4 linked regions of the Ovis aries genome follow. The protein of the gene in region 1 interacts with the protein of each later gene in a pairwise test. Links are inferred from orthologs where the notes say so. Each region holds a gene or a part of one and is shown in the gene's direction. Other genes may lie near its edges.

What was found.
Region 2: the proteins of NR1H2 (region 1) and MED1 interact in a two-hybrid assay, tested with the Homo sapiens proteins (2 studies listed by BioGRID and IntAct, with this or other methods). The link is inferred for Ovis aries from reciprocal best matches to the Homo sapiens genes NR1H2 and MED1.
Region 3: the proteins of NR1H2 (region 1) and NCOA6 interact in a two-hybrid assay, tested with the Homo sapiens proteins (2 studies listed by BioGRID). The link is inferred for Ovis aries from reciprocal best matches to the Homo sapiens genes NR1H2 and NCOA6.
Region 4: the proteins of NR1H2 (region 1) and NPY interact in a two-hybrid assay, tested with the Homo sapiens proteins (3 studies listed by BioGRID and IntAct). The link is inferred for Ovis aries from reciprocal best matches to the Homo sapiens genes NR1H2 and NPY.

The regions. Positions count from the first base shown.
Region 1 is NC_056067.1:56,280,265-56,285,266, forward strand, and holds the end of NR1H2 (oxysterols receptor LXR-beta), read left to right. Parts: intron 1-55; coding exon 56-235; intron 236-904; coding exon 905-1,004; intron 1,005-3,274; coding exon 3,275-3,483; intron 3,484-3,725; coding exon 3,726-3,872; 3' UTR 3,873-4,293; downstream 4,294-5,002. UniProt on the Homo sapiens protein: Nuclear receptor that exhibits a ligand-dependent transcriptional activation activity. Binds preferentially to double-stranded oligonucleotide direct repeats having the consensus half-site sequence 5'-AGGTCA-3' and 4-nt spacing (DR-4).
Region 2 is NC_056064.1:39,606,764-39,611,702, reverse strand, and holds the start of MED1 (mediator of RNA polymerase II transcription subunit 1), read left to right. Parts: upstream 1-1,849; 5' UTR 1,850-2,058; coding exon 2,059-2,083; intron 2,084-4,133; coding exon 4,134-4,240; intron 4,241-4,939. UniProt on the Homo sapiens protein: Component of the Mediator complex, a coactivator involved in the regulated transcription of nearly all RNA polymerase II-dependent genes.
Region 3 is NC_056066.1:64,075,936-64,080,343, reverse strand, and holds part of NCOA6 (nuclear receptor coactivator 6), read left to right. Parts: intron 1-1,445; coding exon 1,446-2,562; intron 2,563-4,408. UniProt on the Homo sapiens protein: Nuclear receptor coactivator that directly binds nuclear receptors and stimulates the transcriptional activities in a hormone-dependent fashion. Coactivates expression in an agonist- and AF2-dependent manner.
Region 4 is NC_056057.1:73,210,237-73,215,309, reverse strand, and holds the start of NPY (pro-neuropeptide Y precursor), read left to right. Parts: upstream 1-1,762; 5' UTR 1,763-1,835; intron 1,836-1,856; exon of another isoform or gene 1,857-2,415; intron 2,416-2,611; exon of another isoform or gene 2,612-2,661; intron 2,662-2,777; coding exon 2,778-2,965; intron 2,966-5,073. UniProt on the Homo sapiens protein: NPY is implicated in the control of feeding and in secretion of gonadotrophin-release hormone.

The DNA.
Region 1 (5,002 bases):
TCGCGGGAGACGTCCTGAGAGTAACCTGCTCGCCCCCCCACCCCCGTGTCCCCAGCCCTGGCCCTTGGGTGCAGACCCGCAGTCCCGTGATGCCCGCCAGCAGCGTTTCGCCCACTTCACGGAGCTGGCCATCATCTCCGTGCAGGAGATCGTGGACTTTGCCAAGCAGGTGCCTGGCTTCCTGCAGCTGGGTCGCGAAGACCAGATCGCCCTCCTGAAAGCCTCTACCATTGAGGTAACAGCCAGCCTGCCCAGCCTCGGGGAGGCCGTTCCATCCTGCCCTCGAGGAAGTCCCGAGATAAACCCCAGGAGAGATGTCGGGAGGATAGGGACAAAGCAGACTCTAGGCCTTTTCCCTGGTGGGGGTGGTATTCTCCAGGAGAACCTCAAATGCTAAATAAGTCATCAGAGCCTCTTGTGAGGTTAGGAGAGAAGGGAAACAGGGCCTGAGATGGAGAATAATTGAGGGTTGGGCTGGAGGGCCACACTTTAGGGAGCATGCTGACAAGGCTTGTTCAGGGAGTTGATGTTTGAACCAAAACTGTGGTAATGAGTAAGTGCTGAGTGTCTAGTGTATGCCAGGTCCTATTCCCAGTGCTGAGGGCGTGGTGGTGAATGGAGCAGACTGAGAGAAAGCTCTGCCCTGTGCCTCGTAAGCACTTGGGGGGAGTGTCCTGAGTGGAGAAGGCTGGGGGTGCCGAACCTGGGGAAGGGCGAGAGCTTGGAGTGTCCAGCGTGCTGGCTGCAGGCCCTGTGGCTGAGAGATGATGGGGTGGGGTGGAGACGGGCAGGGGATGATCCCAGCAAGATCGGGCCCCCCCATTCAGGCCAGCAGAGGGACAGTGGCCGAGGGGCCACAGGGCTCCTCTAGCCCCTGCCCACCCATCCCCTCCGCCATCCTCAGATCATGCTGCTGGAGACGGCCAGACGCTACAACCACGAGACTGAGTGCATCACTTTCCTAAAGGACTTCACCTACAGCAAGGATGACTTCCACCGCGCGGGTACGGCCAAGCGCAGGCTGGGCAGTGGGGTCCCTGCTGGCCAGGAGACCCGGGCCCTCACATCCTTGTCTGAGCTTCCATCTCTTCACCTCCAGACTAGGGTGAGGGCTGAGCCCTCCCACCTCACAGTGAGAGCTAAGACCACAGTGAGATTATTGAGCCCTGACCCTGCACAGGGGGGACATGGTGCAGGATGCGACAGAGGGGTATGTGCTGTCATATAGGACATCTTCGTAGGAATTAAGGAAAGACACTCTTTGCTCCCCAGCCCTGGTCTCATGTGAGGGAGGCTGGATCTCAGTCCATTGGGAAATACATAACCTCCCCAACTGTACAGGGCAAACCCGGTCCCTGCCCTCCAAGAGCACTTCCCTAGGGATGGGAACCGAGGCGATGGGCTTCTGGAGAGAGTATGGCTCAGTGGGACCAGAGGGAAAGGGAGGTGGGGAGCAGTGTTAGTTACCAGGGAACGCAAGTGCAGGGCCTCTCTCTCTGCTTCTGGGCGTTCTCAGAGAGTCCTGCTTTCTCCTGTCATTTCTCCGTGGGGCACTTCTCTGTCTTCCTGGACATCTTCTCCTCACCCCATCTTTCCTTCCTCTTATTTCCTGGCTCTCCCAATACCCAGGGCAGTCCCAGTAACCCTTTGAGTATAAGCTTGGCAGGGGAGCACTAGGGGTTGGGAGAGTGTTTCTGGCAGGGGCCTCAGCATGTGCAGAGGTCCTTGGGTGGGGAAGAGCGGGTGGTTTTAAGGAACGACAGGGAGGTTCCGGCAGCTGCAGCGCAGTGAGATGGGGCTGGAGCGGAGGTTCGTTCCTCCTACCGCCCCATCCTCCGCCACTGCCAGAGTCCAAGCCTCAGTTGGTCCTTCTGGGAACATTGCAGGGCCCCTTGCTGGGCTTCTGCCTCCACCCCAGCCTGGTGTGTTTGTTCACAGTCATCAGAAGGATCCAGTTAACAACCACGTTAGCTCACGTCCCTCCTGTGCTCAGCACCATCCGTGGCTCCCATCACACTGGGTGGGAGAAAAGCCAGAGTCCTCACCTGGCCCACAGGCCCTGCAGGGTGTGGCCTCGTTCCTCCCGCCCTCCCCTCCCCCTCCCCCAGCCGCGCTGGCCTCCCTGTTATTTGAACCCACCAATGTGCTGTCGCCTCACAGCTTCTGTTTGCTGGTCCCTCTTTCCAGAACTAGGTTGACCATCTCGTCCTAGTTTGCTTGGGGCCTTCCAAGCTTTTCTTACTTTTTAAAGATTTTTTTGTTTTTGGCTGCGCTGGGTCTTCGTTGCTTTGTGCGAGCTTTCTCTAGTTGCTGTGCGCGGGCTTCTCGTTGCCAGTGCGGGCCCTAGGCAGTTGGGCTCAGTTGCAGTGCGTGGGTTTAGTTGCCCTGCAGCATGTGGCATCTTCCTGGCCAGGGATGAAACCTGTGTCCCCTGCACTGGCATGTGGATTCTTAGCCACTCTGCAAGAAGCAAGTCTCCTGAGCTTTAATACTCAAAGTCCAGGGCCTAGGAAGCCTAGTCCCAGGCAAAACAGACTGGTAGCACCCTCCCTGGAACACTCGCACAGCCTGGTAACTCCCTCCCTCCCCTCTTTAGTCAGACACCCTGCAGCTAGGGAGGCCTTCCGACACTCACCTTGTGGTGACCCTCATGTCTAAAATATGGACGTGATTCTCTCCGTTACCTTCCCTTGCGTTACCTCAATCCATAGAACTAGAACCATCTCACAGGGTGGATGGCGTACTTGCAGACCTGTCTATTATCTGTCTCTTCAAGCCCCAGATGCAAGTGCCACGAGAGCAGGGGGCTTTGTCTTAGAATGTCTCTGCCTGGGACCTGATGCGCAGTGGGTGCTCAATCAAGTTTGATGAATGAATGAGTCACACCTGGAAATGAGTTCCGCTTCACTGTGAGAGCAGGGGATGCCACCTCAGGGGGTGATGTAAGGTGACCTGGGATTAAACACCTTTCCTTTTCCAGAGGAGAGGTACCAGGAAGGAAGCGAAGAGGGTGACGGGGTGGTAGAAACTTCTGAATAAATGTTCACACTTATTACTCATTGCTTCATTCAGGCAAGACATATGGCATACCCACGACGTGCCAAGCCCTTGATGGGCAGTGGGGTTACAGGGTGACCAGCACGCTCTACTTGCTGCTGGTTCCCTCGCTCTGCTGACAGTGGGCAATGCCAGTGGCAGGGCAATGCCAGTGGCCAGGCATGGGGGCCAGTTTTAGGTCAGAGTGTTTATCAGAGCCAGTCTCCTGTCTCCACAGGCCTGCAGGTGGAATTCATCAACCCCATCTTCGAGTTCTCACGGGCCATGAGGCGTCTGGGCCTGGATGACGCGGAGTACGCCCTGCTCATCGCCATCAACATCTTCTCAGCCGACCGGCCCAACGTGCAGGAGCCCAGCCGGGTCGAGGCCCTGCAGCAGCCCTACGTGGACGCGCTGTTGTCTTACACACGCATCAAGAGGCCACAGGTACCGGAGCCCGGACCCTCCCAAGGAAACCTAGACCTGTGTAGGGTCAGCTTCCTACGTCCCTGGCTCACCCCAGCAGCTGAGTTCTGATCAGTGTCCTCTCAGCAGCCTGTCCTCAAGGCCCCTGTCCCATCATTAAGGAGTCAGGCAAGTCCTTGCCCAGGGGCCCCCACACTGCCTCTCCAGGGTGGGGGTCCTCCGGGTGGGCCGCCTGGCACCCACCCACTCCTGTCTCCTTGCAGGACCAGCTGCGCTTCCCCCGCATGCTGATGAAGCTTGTGAGCCTGCGCACGCTCAGCTCCGTGCACTCGGAGCAGGTCTTCGCCCTGCGGCTTCAGGACAAGAAGCTGCCACCTTTGCTGTCTGAGATCTGGGACGTCCACGAATGAAGGGCCCACCCCACTGCCCTGCACATCCCCAATGACTGCACACTGGGGTGGGAAGGGACCGGGCTGGGTCTGGGCTCCCGCCCTGCGGCTCGGAGCTAAAGCCTTGGCCCCCCGCCAGCCCTCAGGATGAGCCCCAGTCGGCGTCCAGGAGCCTCCCTGCCTGCCCACTGAGTCTTCCTGGGAGGGCTGGAGGGGGTCACGGGTCCTGAGCTCTGACCTCTCCCAGCACTCCCAGCTGCCCTCCCCGCCCAGCTTACACCTCAAGCCTACCATGCAGTGCACCTTGAACAGAGGCAGGAGGGCCTGTGGCTCTCCCACAGCCTGAGAGACCACAGACAGGCTCCCTGCTCTGCTCCTTTTATTTAATAAAAACTAAAAAAAAAAAAAAAAAAACAGGAAAATAAAGTATGACTAGAAACTTGCTCTGATTCAGGATGAGTCTGAGGTGGGAATGGGCTGCCAGGGTCTTCATGGACACCAAACCCCCAGACCTGGTGTTGGACTAGGGTGGGTTCAGGGTGATAAGACTAGGCGCTTTGGGGGCCTCAGGGTCATCTGGTGGTTGGAGCCTGCTCCTGAAGGTCAGGGAGGATTTAAGTGGAGGAGGGCATGGAGCTTTCGTTCAATCAGCAAGTATTGGCTGAGGCTGCTTTGTCGGCCAGTCTCAGGACACAGGTGTTTTTCATTTGACAGATGCGTATGGAGCATTTGTGCTGTGCTGTGGTTAGTCGCTAACTCGTGTCCGACTCTGACCTCATGGACTGTAGCCCACCAGGCTCCTCTGTCCGTGGGGATTCTCCAGGCAGCAATACTGGAGTGGGTTGCCATGCCCTCCTCCAGGGGATCTTCCTAACCCAGGGATCGAACCCAGGTCTCCCGCATTGCAGGCGGATTCTTTACCATCTGAGCCACCAGGGAAGCCCCATGGAGCATTTACTATGTGCCAAATACATTCTTAGGCACTGGAAACATCTGTGAACACGATAAAGTCTCTGCAGCCACCGTGGAAAACAGTATGGCGGTTTCTCAAAACACGAAAACTAGAGGAATTCCTTGGCAGTCCAGTGGTTAGGACCCTGGGGGCCTAGGTTCAGTGCCTGGCTGCGGAACTAAGATTACACATGCCATTC
Region 2 (4,939 bases), on another chromosome or scaffold:
ATATCACTAGACTAGACAGTAGTGAAAGAAATAGACCCAGTGCAGCCGCCCTCCTAGATTTGATAGTTTAGCAGGGAAGACAGACATTGAATACATCATCATGTACTTAATTAAGTACTGAAATAGTATAACAGAGGACCTTATTAAGTCAGGGTTTAGAGAAAGTTTGCATCTCTAGTCCAGATCAAGAGACATTTACTTTGAGAACTATATAAGAGGGCCTCAGTGAGATGAGGGGTAATGGAGAAGGGGAAAGCCTTCCTGCAGCTAAAAAGGCCTGTTCAAGGACCTTGGGAGAGAAAGGAGTGAAGGAATTGTCTGCAGGTGGAAGGTCAGTGTGGTTGGGATTTGGCAAGGGGAGAAGAGCTAGATTGAGAGAGGAATGTTAGGACCAGTAAAAGATTTGCCTACTAAGCCCAGGTACAATGCTAGGTAGTGTGGATTTCGAAATAAGAAGCAATTACTGCCTCAAAAAACTCTCTGTGTAGTGACTGAAAGGAATGAGGGTAAGAGGAATAGACAAGAAGTAAATTTTAATTCTACTTTCAAGGAGCATGGTTATACATATCTTTGTCGAAATAAACATGTCACAAATAAAGATTTGTTCTTATCTGTCTGTTCATCTGAACTGTAGTTACCAGCAGGAATTGTTTTGGAGGATGTTTGCATATCATTTTTGAAATATGGGGGAAAAGTCTGAGACTAAAGAGCCACTGGAAATCCATTGCTAAATATCCTTACAGCAAATTAGGTAAAATTTCAGCAGTTATTCTCAAGGATGTATTTCAAAAAAAAATTATAATAATAATAAAGAAAAAAAAAAAAGAGTAACCTTAACTATTTTAAGAACTTCCACCCAGAGCTAGTAGAATTGTATTTTAGTCTGGTTCTTGTTCCAATGGGCAGGAACTTCTAAATTCTCAGCATTAATCCAGATTTCTCTTCGTGAAAATTTACTGATACAAGAGACAGGACCACACATTCTTTGTGATTTGTAGTGTAGAGTGTGAGCTAACCTGCTTGCTTTTACTGACTACAAAAAAAATACAATCCATTGTGAACACCTTTGGGATCCTAAATATAATCGATGACTACTGAATATTCATTGGAAGGGCTGATGCTGAAGCTGAAGCTCCAATATTTTGGCCACCTGACTGACGCGAAGACTCCACTCATTGAAAAAGACCCTGATGCTAGGAAGGGTTGAGGGCAGGAGGAGAAGGGGAGGATAGAGGATGAGATGGTTGGATAGCATCACCGACTGGATGGACATGAGTTTGAGCAAGTTCTGGGAGTTGGTGATGGACAGGCAGTTCATGGGGTCTTTAAGAGTCGGACACGACTGAGCGACTCACCTGAACTCATGACTGTTGCAAACAAGTTTTTCTTAACTCAAAATCTTCCACGTCCTCAGAAATATTGAAAATGCTCAAGAAAAATATTTCTGAAATTAAAAAGGAAATTCGGTAATGGAAATTAAGTGTACTGGGCTACTTTGGGACGTCGTGTTACAAAGACCCAACGTCTAGTATCTCAATAAAGGGAAAGTTTTAATAAAATATTCCTAACAGCAATATTCTTCGAAAAGCTAGCATTTCAGTAAAGACAGCTGGGGCTTTTACTTTGCAAACTGCTTGAAAGCCAAATCGAAAGTGCCAACTTCCACAGAGGTGTTGAACACTAGCACTACACAAGCTCCACGCCTAGCTCTGAGAAGTCGGAGACAAACCAGAGAGCAGGCAGGGTGGGGATAATCTCGCGAGAAGCAACGTATAAATCATTTTTCGCGATATTTGGTGCCCAGCCCCTTTCCCCCTTCTCTCTCTCGCAGGATCACGGTTAATCTCGCGATCTTTTGGAAGTTCCGTTGGGGAAGATGGCGGCGGCCGCGAGCACCCTTCTCTTCTTGCCGCCGGGGACTTCAGACTGAGTCTTCCCTGGAAGAGTGGGACTGCAGGTTCCCTGCGTCCCGGGAGCCCGAACCAACTTGGTTCCTCCATTACTGGTGGGGAAGGGCATATCCTCTTGTGTAGGACTTAGGCCCTCCCCGCCGTCAGGATGAAGGCTCAGGGGGAGACCGAGGGTGAGTGACTGAGGGGGAGATCAGGGGGCGGGACACAGCTGGGGGAGCCAATGCCTCCGCGGGGGCCACTCTCCCGAGGGCTCAGGATCTAGGAGGCGGGATATGTCTGAGTTTTAGATTCTGACTGCCTTCCTTGGTGATGGAGAGCTTCGACTTTGGGGAGATGGGGGCTCCCAACTTGAGTGTGAAGGTTTCCTATTTGGCAAGGGGCAACATTTGGGCCTCAGGGCATTTTTTAGCCTAAAGAGATGGGAGACCGGGCAAGTGAACGTAAAACTTTCTTCTTCAAAAGAGAAATCTGAATGATGACATAAAACAATAATAGGACGCTATATATCAAAGTACTGTAAGATGTTTTGTCGTGAATGAAATGATTAGGTCCTTATGGTATTAAAAGCCAGTAGTTTTAAAAAATGTCACAGCGTTCATATCTTGTAGTATTGTATATTTTTAAAATGCTTTTAATTTCAGTCTTTAAATATCTGAACTAAAAACTGTTGAAAAACACTTTTCTGTGTAACTTTATATTCTCTAAAGTTCCACATTTCAGCTTAGATGCTCCGTTAGCATTTTGGACATAGTTCTGTTGATACAGGATTATTTTTTTGTCTTCTCCAATGTGCTCTGAGCTTTGTAGAGCAGGATCTTGCCTTACTCATCATTGTATAGTCCTGGGCCCATAATGTTGTGTTGTTGTGTTAGTCACTCAGTCGTTTCCGACTCTGTGACCCCACGGACTGCAGCCCACCAGGCTCCTTCACCTATGGAATTCTCCAGGCAAGAACACTGAAGTGAGTTGCCGTTTCCTTCTCCGGGCACATAATAGTTGCTCAAAAAAACGTTTCACTGAAGCATTTTTGTAAAGATTTATCGTCGGCCGCCTTAAGGGAGAGAAGGGAGGTGTGTTTGAAGGAGAAAGAAAAAAGGGTGCAGACGAATGACTAGTGTAAGTGGAATCTTAGTGAGGCAGGAATTTTGTCTAGTTTGCTCACTGCTGTATCTCTGAGATGTAAAATAGTGCCTGAGTGAATGTCTGAAATATGGGAATTGCCAAACATTTCTCCAGAATTATAAACTGAATGAAACAGCCCCAAGAACAGTTTTCCAGAAGATGAAGGCCTTGGAGGGAGGAGTTGAATCTCGATCTGAAGATGTCACTACTTCATCTTTGATTGCTGACATTCTATTCATCTTTCAAGACATCTTTTCTGTAACATCCCTAAACTAATTACACACTTTTCCTCCTTTGAATTTTGATAGTAATGTGTTTCTATTTTTAAGAGCATATCTCATTTTGCTTTGTATGATGGTTATTTTCACATTAACTTATCCACACCCCCTCACAGATGTCATCTCAGGCATATTGTATTTTTGCACTGCTGGTCTCCAGCACAGTCCTTGCTCATGTTAAGCAGTTAAAAGAATTACAGGAGTGTTGGAGGTTATAGGAGGTTCCTTCAAACACTATCTGGGATCCATTCTTTTCTACCTTTCTCTTACCTTTGCCTGAAACTCATCCTTTAGTCACTTGACATTTCCTTTGTTCATATAGTTTGAATTCGAACAGGAAATAGCTGAATGGCAAATGAAGCTTGTTTTCTTGATAATACTTACAAATTGATCTCTTAAAATTATGTGAAAAAATTAAGAAAGTCTTTATTTTCACATTGAAAACCAACTAACTATAGTAAGGCCATGTTCAAATGTATGCTCTGCATATGTCATGCAAAGGATTTCATGCCTATCATGAAATTATTTTGTCATTAAATAGTAGTCTTGATCCTCAGGACTGGAGGTGGTTCTTTTTTTGCTTCTCATTAAGTCTGAAGAGAAAGCAGTCCCCTTCTATAGTGTTGTTAGATTAGGCCCATAATTTCTGTCTACTTGTTATTAGAAATGAATTCTTTGTGTATTTTGAAGTAAATGATATTGGATAAGATTTTAACTTGAGTTCGTACCAGGATGAAGTATGGGAGTTTTGTTTGCAAGAAAAACTGTGGAAGGTCTTGAAAGAAGAGTTGCTAATAATTTTTTCTGATTTATATCTTAGAGTCGGAAAAGCTGAGTAAGATGAGTTCTCTCTTGGAACGGCTCCATGCAAAATTTAACCAAAATAGACCTTGGAGTGAAACCATTAAGCTTGTGCGTCAAGTCATGGTGAGGACTATGGTGAACTGGATAAAGTGTTGTGCTTAGAAAATTATTTGATAAGCTAAGTTACCTATGTAGACTTTTTCTAGCTAGTCATTATGGTGTGTCTTCAGTTTTATTTCTCATAACATGATGGCTTTCAACTTTTAAGTCTACCTAAGAAGAAGATATGTTAATAGAATTGTGTTAATCATGAGTTATAGTAAGCTGGGATATTTTAGGCAAAAGTTGTAAGAAACACTTACAGAGCGTAATTAGTTTCCTAGTGACCTAGTGTTTAGGATTCCCAGCTTTCATTACTGTAACCTTGGATTCAATCCCTGGTTGAGGAACTAAGATCCCACAAGTCCCACAGTGCTGCCAAAAAAAAAAAAAAAAAAGATACATGTGATAGCCTGATATAGAGAAACATTTACTTTTTACTTCCTGTCAAGCTCCTTGATTCTAATGTGTTAATACTTTCATTGTATCTATACTGGTAGAAGAGTTTGCAATCATTTTTATTAACTTCACTTGTTTACTCTGTGACTTCCTCTACAGTACTTTCTCCTTCCTGAGGCATTCACCAGTATGGGGAGCCCTTAGTTAAGTGGTATACAGGGAGTGGGGTGAGTGTATAGCACAGCACTAGTAAAAGAATTGAATTTGCTGTCAGAAAAAGCTTTATTTTAATCTTGACTCCACTACTACCTGTGTAACCTTGGA
Region 3 (4,408 bases), on another chromosome or scaffold:
ACAGTAATAAAATCATTCACAATTCCTCCCCATAAGTGCAGCTGTTTTATATTTTTATAAGGTGCCTTCCCCATGCACTTACTGTTTTGATTTCTCCGTTTATCCCATCTAAGATAGCTCTACTCTTGTCTGTCGTTTCCTGTTCTCTTACTCTATTTCTCTTATTAAGCTTTTACTTCTTCCTGTGAAAATACTTAGTCTGTTTGTTATTTTACTCTTGCCAACTAGACTCCATGGAGTAAGGGATTTGGTTTGTCTTGCTTATTGATGTTACCTCAGTACCAGAAGTACCTTGCACATATTAGCTACTCAATAGATGATTGTCAATTGAATGAATATACTGGAATATTTAGTGTATATAGTATATACAGTGGTCATGGAATTCAGTTTAAGGCTGGTCTGGAAGATCTTAGGATTCCGGAAAAATCTAGATTGTATGAACAAAGGACAGTTTGTCTCTCACCTCCTGGCTGGAACATGGACTGGCTTGATGATTTCATTGTGGCTATCACTTTTTAGTCCTCATTTCAAAATGAAAAGGGTGGGGAGGAGATAAAATAAGCTAGAAGTTTATTCTGCAGAAAGGAAGAGAGAATATAAGCAGCTATAGGAAAACCCCAAAGACCTAACAGTAAGTATACACTGTGGCAAACCAGGAAGTGCTCTTTGTCTGAACTGGAAACAATTAAGACTAAAACATGTCCCATGTGGTCTCCTAGGGATTGCTGCAGGAGAGGGTCACTGAAGCTTTATCATCCTTTATTGTCTGTCCTCTGTCTGCAGCTTCTTAATTGTCTGTCAGTTGACTTCCACCAGAGGCTCAGCTTCCAGATCAAGATTAAATAATTTTTACCACATTGGGGTGGAGGAGACCTATCTTTAGGAAGTATTAGCTGTTCTTTTCTTTAAAGTGCAGTATCCAGATAACACATCCATAACCTTGGAGAGTCTGAATATAGTTTCCCAAGGAGCATTGTTAAACATCTTCTCAACTTTGCTGAGGTTTTCTTAAGAGGCTGCAGCACATTTTTTGTTTCCTGTCTCATCTAAAGTAGAGCTTATTTCATTATCCCATAACACTTTTCATTAATTTTCTTCATTTTAAGGTAGTTACAAGTTATTTTTAAATAATGAGATGCTACCTTTCTCTTTGTTTAGTCTAAGAGAAAGAAAACTATATTGATCTTCAAAATGTTATCAAGTTACCAAATAGGAATAAAGAAATGGTTTCTTTTTCTCTATTGTATGGTCACTGAGAATGTATGCCACAGTCACAGCCTTATACTATAGAAAACTCACAGAAATATGTTAAGCATAACACATCTGTTTATGCTAATCACTGGATATGGGTGAGGGGTGTTTTTCTAATTAAGGTAATTTGAGAATCTTAATACCAAGAAGATAATAGTATTTCTTTCTGAAACTGTGCCTTTTTTTTTTTTCAGGTGGTCAAGGAGCTGGTCCTCCTCAAAACCAGATGCAGGTGTCCCACGGGCCACCAAATATGATGCAGCCCAGCCTCATGGGAATTCATGGCAACATGAACAACCAACAGGCTGGTAGTTCTGGGGTTCCTCAAGTGAACCTGGGCAACATGCAAGGCCAGCCCCAGCAGGGCCCACCATCTCAACTGATGAGCATGCACCAGCAGATCGTGCCCTCCCAGGGCCAGATGGTCCAGCAACAAGGAACCTTGAACCCTCAGAACCCCATGATCCTTTCAAGGGCCCAGCTTATGCCACAGGGTCAGATGATGGTGAATCCTCAGAGCCAAAATCTTGGGCCCTCACCCCAAAGGATGACCCCACCCAAGCAGATGCTTCCCCAGCAGGGCCCCCAAATGATGGCACCACATAACCAGATGATGGGGCCTCAGGGGCAAGTTTTGCTCCAACAGAATCCAATGATAGAGCAGATCATGACCAATCAGATGCAGGGGAATAAGCAACAGTTTAACACTCAGAACCAGTCTAATGTCATGCCGGGACCAGCACAGATAATGAGGGGACCAACGCCAAACTTGCAAGGAAACATGGTGCAGTTTACAGGACCTATGTCAGGACAGATGCTGCCACAGCAAGGGCCCGTGAACAGCAGTCCGTCTCAGGTTATGGGGATGCAGGGGCAGGTCTTGCGGCCACCAGGGCCCAGCCCCCACATGGCCCAGCAGCATGGTGATCCTGCTACGACAGCAAATAATGATGTCAGCTTGTCTCAGATGATGCCAGATGTTAGCATGCAGCAAAGCAACATGGTCCCCCCCCACGTGCAGGCCATGCAGGGGAACAGTGCCTCGGGAAACCACTTCTCAGGCCATGGGATGCCCTTCAATGCACCTTTCAATGGAGCACCCAATGGAAATCAGATGTCCTGTGGTCAGAATCCAGGCTTCCCGGTCAATAAGGATGTCACGCTGACGAGCCCATTGTTGGTCAACTTGTTGCAGAGTGATATCTCTGCGGGCCATTTCGGGGTAAACAATAAGCAAAACAATAGCAACGCAAATAAACCGAAGAAGAAGAAGCCCCCTCGGAAGAAGAAGAATAGTCAGCAGGATCTAAAGTAGGTTGTGATAGTCTTGTCTGAAATCTTACTCATTTATTTCTATGTGAACACCTTTTTTGATGGAAATTTTTGAGCATGTATAAGAACAGTATAATGAAATTCCCCATGCTTCAGATTTTCAGCTCATCATCTATCTTGCATTCATTCATGTTCTTCCCATTACCTCTTGATTATTTTAAAGCAAGTTCACTTTAAGTATTTCACTGTGTACCTTGAAAAAATAAGGACAGGTTTTTGGTTTTTGTTTTCTGTTTTTTGTGACCATACAATACGATTAGCACACCTGGAAAAAACTAATGCTTCCTTCATATTCTCACATATTCAGACAGCGTCCAGATTTCCCTGATTATCTCAAAATAATTTTTTTTTTTTACAATTTGTTCAAATAAGGGGCCAAACAAGGTTCATATATTGCAGTCAAATGATATATGTCTCCTAAGTCTGTACAGTCTCAGAGGGGATTGTGCCATTCAGAGCCTGAGAATTAGCCATTGCTACCACACTACAACTCTACAAAGCATGTCAGGCTTATAATGACTGCTGGGGAACCAGAGAGGCTATATGTGTTTTAGGAATGAAAACTACTTACGGAGACTCCCTTCTGTCTCTCAAATAGAAATGTTTTTTTTTTGTGCAAGTGCCTTTCTTTTAAAGGCTCTTTATCATCCTTAGCAGCTTAAAACCTCATACTAAGATGACTAGACCTTTTCAATCAGTTACCCTTTTGGTAAAGATGAGTCTTTTGCAAGATCACAGTGGGAAGGGCAATTAATTTATATTTCGTTTCCTAAAGCTAAGTGTTAAGTCATATTTTTGGCTTTGATAAAAAAGGAATATTGACTAAACTGGATTTTCTGCCTTTAATCACAAAAGTGAAATCCAGAGACATTTATTACCAGAAAATAATGACTAAGAAGTATAAAAGCGGGTTAATTCAAGTAAATTACTAGAATTACAGAAGAGAATAGGGGAGCTTTAGTTAATTAAACATAAATGTTTAAAATAAAACCATCTATTGGATTGGCCAAAAAGTTTGTTTGTGTTTTTCCATAACACCTGGAAAAAAACTGGATGAACTTTTTGGCCAACCCACTACCTTTCTCTCAGTCTTCTTACAGTATGCCTTTGGTGGTACTATAAAACTATATCATATTCACTTTCTTCTTGAATCTTATAAATCAAAAAATAATTTATATTAGCAACCTGTATTTTTCGTGAATTCAAAATTAGTAAACTCTTTGGTTATCTGATTTTTCCAGTAGCTCTTTCTAAGTTAAATTCTTTACTACTATCAATCTGTATGGGAATAATATTTCTTTGGCAATATTTATTCCTCTCAGTAATCTAGGATTAACACTGCAAGGTTCTTCAGTTGCCATTAGTATAGATTTTTGGTATCTGTACCAGCCCTTAGGGATTTGCTTACTTGTTATAGCTACAGAATGTGGAAAGGGCCTTATACCACATCAGGGCTCCTAGGAATGGAGACAGTAAGTTAAAAAGAAGAGCGCATGCTCCCAGCTCTACCACGAGCTTACCATGGAATCTTCAGGCTGTTTTCTTACAGCTCTGTAGGCCTTTGTTTTGTTATCCAGTAACATGAGGTGGCTGGGCCTGAGATATTTTTTAGCAGTATAATTCTTTGAAAGTAAAGAATACTACAGGAATCCTTACCTGTAATTGAAGCAAGAGAGAAGTCATTTAAGGAGCAAATCAATACAGGAATCTAGTTGTGCTTAGGACCTGCTTCAGGTTCTAAATTACCATGTGCTAGAGCTTTTAAAATGGATTTAAGGTAAGGTTTATGAAACTACAGAGTACAACGAGATAAAATACTATCTAA
Region 4 (5,073 bases), on another chromosome or scaffold:
TTGTAGCTTAGTGTTAGCCACTCAGTGATGTTTGACTTTTTGCAACTACATAAACTGTAGCCCACCAGGCTCTTCTATCCATGAAATTGTCCAGGCAAGAATATTGGAGTGGGTAGCCAATCCCTTCTCCAGAGGATCTTCCTAACCCAGGGATCAAACCCAGGTCTCGCCCATTGCAGGCAGATTCTTTACCATCTGAGCCACCAAGGAAGCCTCATTTGTATCTCAGTTGTATCTCAACAAACTGTTAAGAATAAGCATAAATAAATGATTTTGAAACAAAGGAAAGAAATGGTCCAGCAACTAGAAGTGCCTCTCTTTTTATCAAGAATGGAATCAGAGTTAGAAAATGTTTTGCTCTAACTTTAGCAAAGGTTCTTTCACATAAGCATTCCTGAGCAGTCCCCAGAGCCTGGCATTTGTGTTCCTGGCATATGTTTGTGTAATGTGGGAGAGGAAGTCACCTAAGTGAAAAGAATGTTGGTCTTCAAAACCTCACACACACACACACACGTGATTGCTTGCTGCACGATAACTGATATTTAATTCAATGCTGTTAAAACAGCACAAAACCAACATGTCAGTTTAACAAAATCACTTGTCATTTTAGCACCAAAATAACTTGTAACTTAGTGCTTCAATTCCTTAATATGCCATTTATTTAGGAAGATTCAGACTTCTAGAAGTATTCATTCAGGGAACTTTAAGACCTAATCCACTACATGAAATCCTGATCCTGTAAAAATAGTTTATGAATCTTTCATATTCATTCTGTAGGTTTAATGTGATGGGCAAATTAATGATTTTTTTTAACCAGTTTTAATTAGAACCCACGTTCTCAATCAGCGTTAATCAAACCTATTTGGCATTATTCAACGGCCAGCAGATAAAAGAAAATTGCTGTTCATTTGACTACCTGGTCGATTTGGACCAAAAATTTTCGTTCGCGCTTTAAGGAGTCTCTCCGAACTTAAAACTCCGCTCTTTTTCCCCAAACCCAGAAAGTGTCCGACCTCTGAGGAGTTCTCAGTCTCTACACACTGTCGGATACCAACTGGACTTCCAGTGTTCGGGCGAGTTCTTGGAGAGGGCCGGTCTCCACCAAAACCAAGCTGGGAAAAGGGACGAAGCCACAGAAGGTTTTGCTCAGCCCTGGAGGAGTGGGGCGTTGGGGTCCTCTAGCTCGGGACTTTGGGCAGGCTTCTGGGAGCTGCTTTAGGCGCAGGAAAATCCCAGCACCAAGTTGTCTCCCCCGAAAGCACTCAGGAGTCGTGTCCGCTCCCTAGCCACACGGATCCCAGAAAGCCTTCACCACGTAGCGGATACGGGTACCCCAACCCTGGTGCCCAGCTGGTGGTAGTCCAGGTGACGGGCGACAGAGATGATCTGGGCTGCTCCTATCTCTGGCAGGACTAGACCGGGCGTGGAGGACGGCAAGGTTTGGCCGCCGCAGGAGGGCAGGAACTTGAGCTTTGGCATGGTCCTGTGCTCTCGGAGCGCGTTGCTGCGCTAGCATCCTGCTAGCTTCCCTTTCCTGGGGCCTGGCTGGCGCTGGCAAATTGGGGTGTGGGTGGCTCCCAGAGCCGAGGCTCGCGAGACAGTAGCTCCGGACCCCCTCCCTCATCCCCCGCCAACGGGGGCGGGAAGCTGCCGGGTGGGAGTAGCGGAGCGTGATTGCCCGAGGCCCCTCCTGCCGTGGCGAGGGAGAGCCATAAAAACCCTGTTGCAACCTGCTCCGGACACCCCCTTCTGCCGGCTCTCACCCCTAGAAGAGCGCGCCAGACTACTGAGCCCTAGCCACCCAGCCACGCCCGCCAGCCACCCAGCCCGCCACCGTGAGTGCCAAGACCCGCTTACTTGACGCGAGCTGAGGGAGAGGGGGCGCCTGTGAATTTGCCGGGGGCTCTGGGAGGAGGGTCGCGCCCCGATCCCTAACCCCTGTGCCCCGGGCTTTCAGGCGCCTCAACGCGCGCTAGCCCCTCTTGGCGGCTAAATTCCACCTGCCCCTTCCTGTACCCTCTGATGGAACAGCTGCCCTCTCCCCGACCCTCCTGGCTACGCCGGCCCTCTGGGTTATCTTATGGTGGATAAAGAGGGAAAACAGGAGCCCGATCCCAGGGCAGCTGGCCGTTTCCTCGAGGGTCGCCGCCTGGAGGGAGGTTTCCCAGGCAGCGCTCCGCGAATAAGGAATCCCCGGAGCTTGGAAGCGCCGCTCCCTGCAGCCTCTTGGGATCTTTCGGATCCGATCTGAGACCCACCGGCGAGGGAGCTGTTCTCTCCACTCTCGCCAGTTGCCACCCGAGTACCGTTTGCCATCACTGTCGAGCTCCTGCAGCGGGGCAGACCAAAACTTAAAAAGGAGAAACTTCTTCCCTTCCCTCTAACAGGGCGTTTGGGGAAGAGGGTAGGAAAGGGGTAAGTTCTCAGTGCAGGGGGAGGAACTTTTAATCTGTTTTTTAAAGTGTTTTAAATTGGCGCCGGAGCCTCCCCAACTCAGCGTCTCTCACCGCCGGATTCTTGACTCTGCTACTGGACTGAAGTTGCTCAGAGTTTTCGGGCGGAGCAGAGGGGCCGGGCCAGAGCAGATCTTGACCTGAATCCACAGGATGGTCTCACCGCTCTCTGCTCCCTCTGCGTGACTGGCTCGAGCATAGATTGAAGGTTGGGGTGTGGGGGTCGTAGGAGTGGGATGGGCGCTGGGGCCAGAGGAGGAAGGTGCGGAGCGTGCGTCCTCTGAATTCCCTAAGCCCCCTTCACTGCACCTTCGGTGTCCGCAGATGCTGGGTAGCAAGCGACTGGGGTTGTCCGGACTGACCCTCGCCCTGTCCCTGCTCGTGTGCCTGGGCGCCCTGGCCGAGGCGTACCCCTCCAAGCCTGACAACCCTGGCGACGACGCTCCGGCGGAGGACTTGGCCAGATACTACTCAGCGCTGCGACACTACATCAATCTCATCACCAGGCAGAGGTAGGTGGGCTGCGCGGGACACCCGACTCCGGAGCGCCCCACTTGCACACCTGGAGATCATGGGCATCTTGAAGGACAAGGACTTTTTCTTTTTATTTTTTGTATCCCAGGGCCAGACAGCATCAGGCACATGCTCAGCTCTCAGTAAATGTTTGCACAGGGAGCAACTGCCTCGGCCACTCCTGTCTCAAAATCCTGATCCCCAGACTCAGGTCCCCCAGTCTGGGTGGCTGACTGGCCATTTCCTCTCACCCATCCCCTTGTCTTTTTTGTTCTTAGAGCAGTTGGAGGACTGTTTGGAAACCTGGGTAGGAAAGTATCCAGTGAAAGGGGTCAGGAAGGCGTTGGGAGGTGGCTATAGCTGAGAGGGCTGCAGGAAAACAACAGCACAAGCTAAGGAGGAAACAGCTGGGTCACCAAAGACTGCCAGATTTTTCAACCTGCCCAAACTGAAGTGAAAAGACAAATTGAACTATTTTCCCCCTACAGTGTTTTATTTCAGTCTGAACCCCTTACCTGAAAATCCTGCTCCTGATAAGTAGAGATTTAGCATGAAAACATTGGTCTAAAATGCTGAGACTTTCCCCATTTCATAGCAGGTGAGTTCAGAAAAGAAAATGCCCACTTGGTGCTTTTTAAAGGAGAAACTTACAATGATCTGTTCACTTTAGGATGAATCCAGGGATTACATGTAATTTGAGAAATTGTCATCTTTATTCTGAACCCCTAGAAAGCTAAAATGAAAGGCCACATTTCATTCTCAACATCAAATCTTAAGCAAAAAATCAAATCCAAACTATTTTAGAAGTAACATAGGATTTAAAATTATTTCCAAAATTAATTCATCTTAGTTTTGAATCATTCAACTTTTTAAATTACTGAGATCAAATGTCCTTAATAAGCTGAAAACAATGAGCTTTTTACAAAGTTTAATGTTATTTAATATATTTAAGTTATGTTTTAAAAGTATTTTTTTGTTTGCTGTTTTACTATATTTCAAGGAATAGTTGGAAAGAATTCAAAGTGGGGAAGAATTTGTATTAAAGCAAACTCTAACTTTGATGAAACTTTCTGTTTCATCAAAAAGCTTTTAAAGAACCAATTTATATGAAATTAGAAATATATGAAAGTGCTAGAATTAAATAGCATTGGTTTATGATCCCTGAAGTCTGATACTTTTCATTAGTGAAGAGCAAGAATGTCTTAATAGACCTTCTTAATAGACCTTCTTAATAGACCTTAATAGATCTTAATAGACCTTCAGAAAGTTAATTGCTTCATATTCTTGCTTATGCATCATAAAGACCAGAGAAAAAAACTGTACAAATTTTTTTTTTTCCTAGGAAAGACTTTGTTAGTTATTTAGTCCGTTAATTATAGCATATAGTGGAACTTAATTTTACAAAGATGATTGATATAAACCTTTACCATTGTGTAAAGCTTTGGCATTTCAGAATGTTTTCCTAGGCATTACTTTGTTCAGTCTTTACCTCAAAGCTTTGAAGTGAGTACAGTTATCACCAGTTTACAGATCATGAAATTAAGGACATTTCATGAAAACTTTTTTTAGGGGTGATTAAATTGGAGCCCTCCTCTTGATCTCTGGATAATGTCACTACCACTTAGAGTGATCTTCAACACCTTTGATGAGGAGAAAATAAGGGAAAGGGCTAAGATTCAGGTTAGCAAGTGTTCCTGAAGCAATTTCCTATCTTCTCTTCATATAAGCTCCTTCTTAGAAACACTCAGAGGCTCGTAATCTGCACCCATCACCTCCATTCTATACTCTCATCATCTTCCCACCACACACATCGACTCATATGCACATCTGTATTTTTGAAAATTACGTATATACGCATACATTTTAATTTGGTATAGATGGTACTGTGATATTCTCTTTCCTCCCCTTTCTGCTTGGTTCATGTTCTAAAGCTATATACTCCTCGTTCATTGCTTCCAAAGGTGGCATCATTTATTCTAGAGCATAGATCTACCACATTTTATTTTTATAGTCATCTATATCAGTGGTTCTCAACTGGGGTTGACTTTATGCTCCGCAAGACATTGGGCAATGTCTGGAGACATTTTCAGTTGTCATAGTGGTGGGA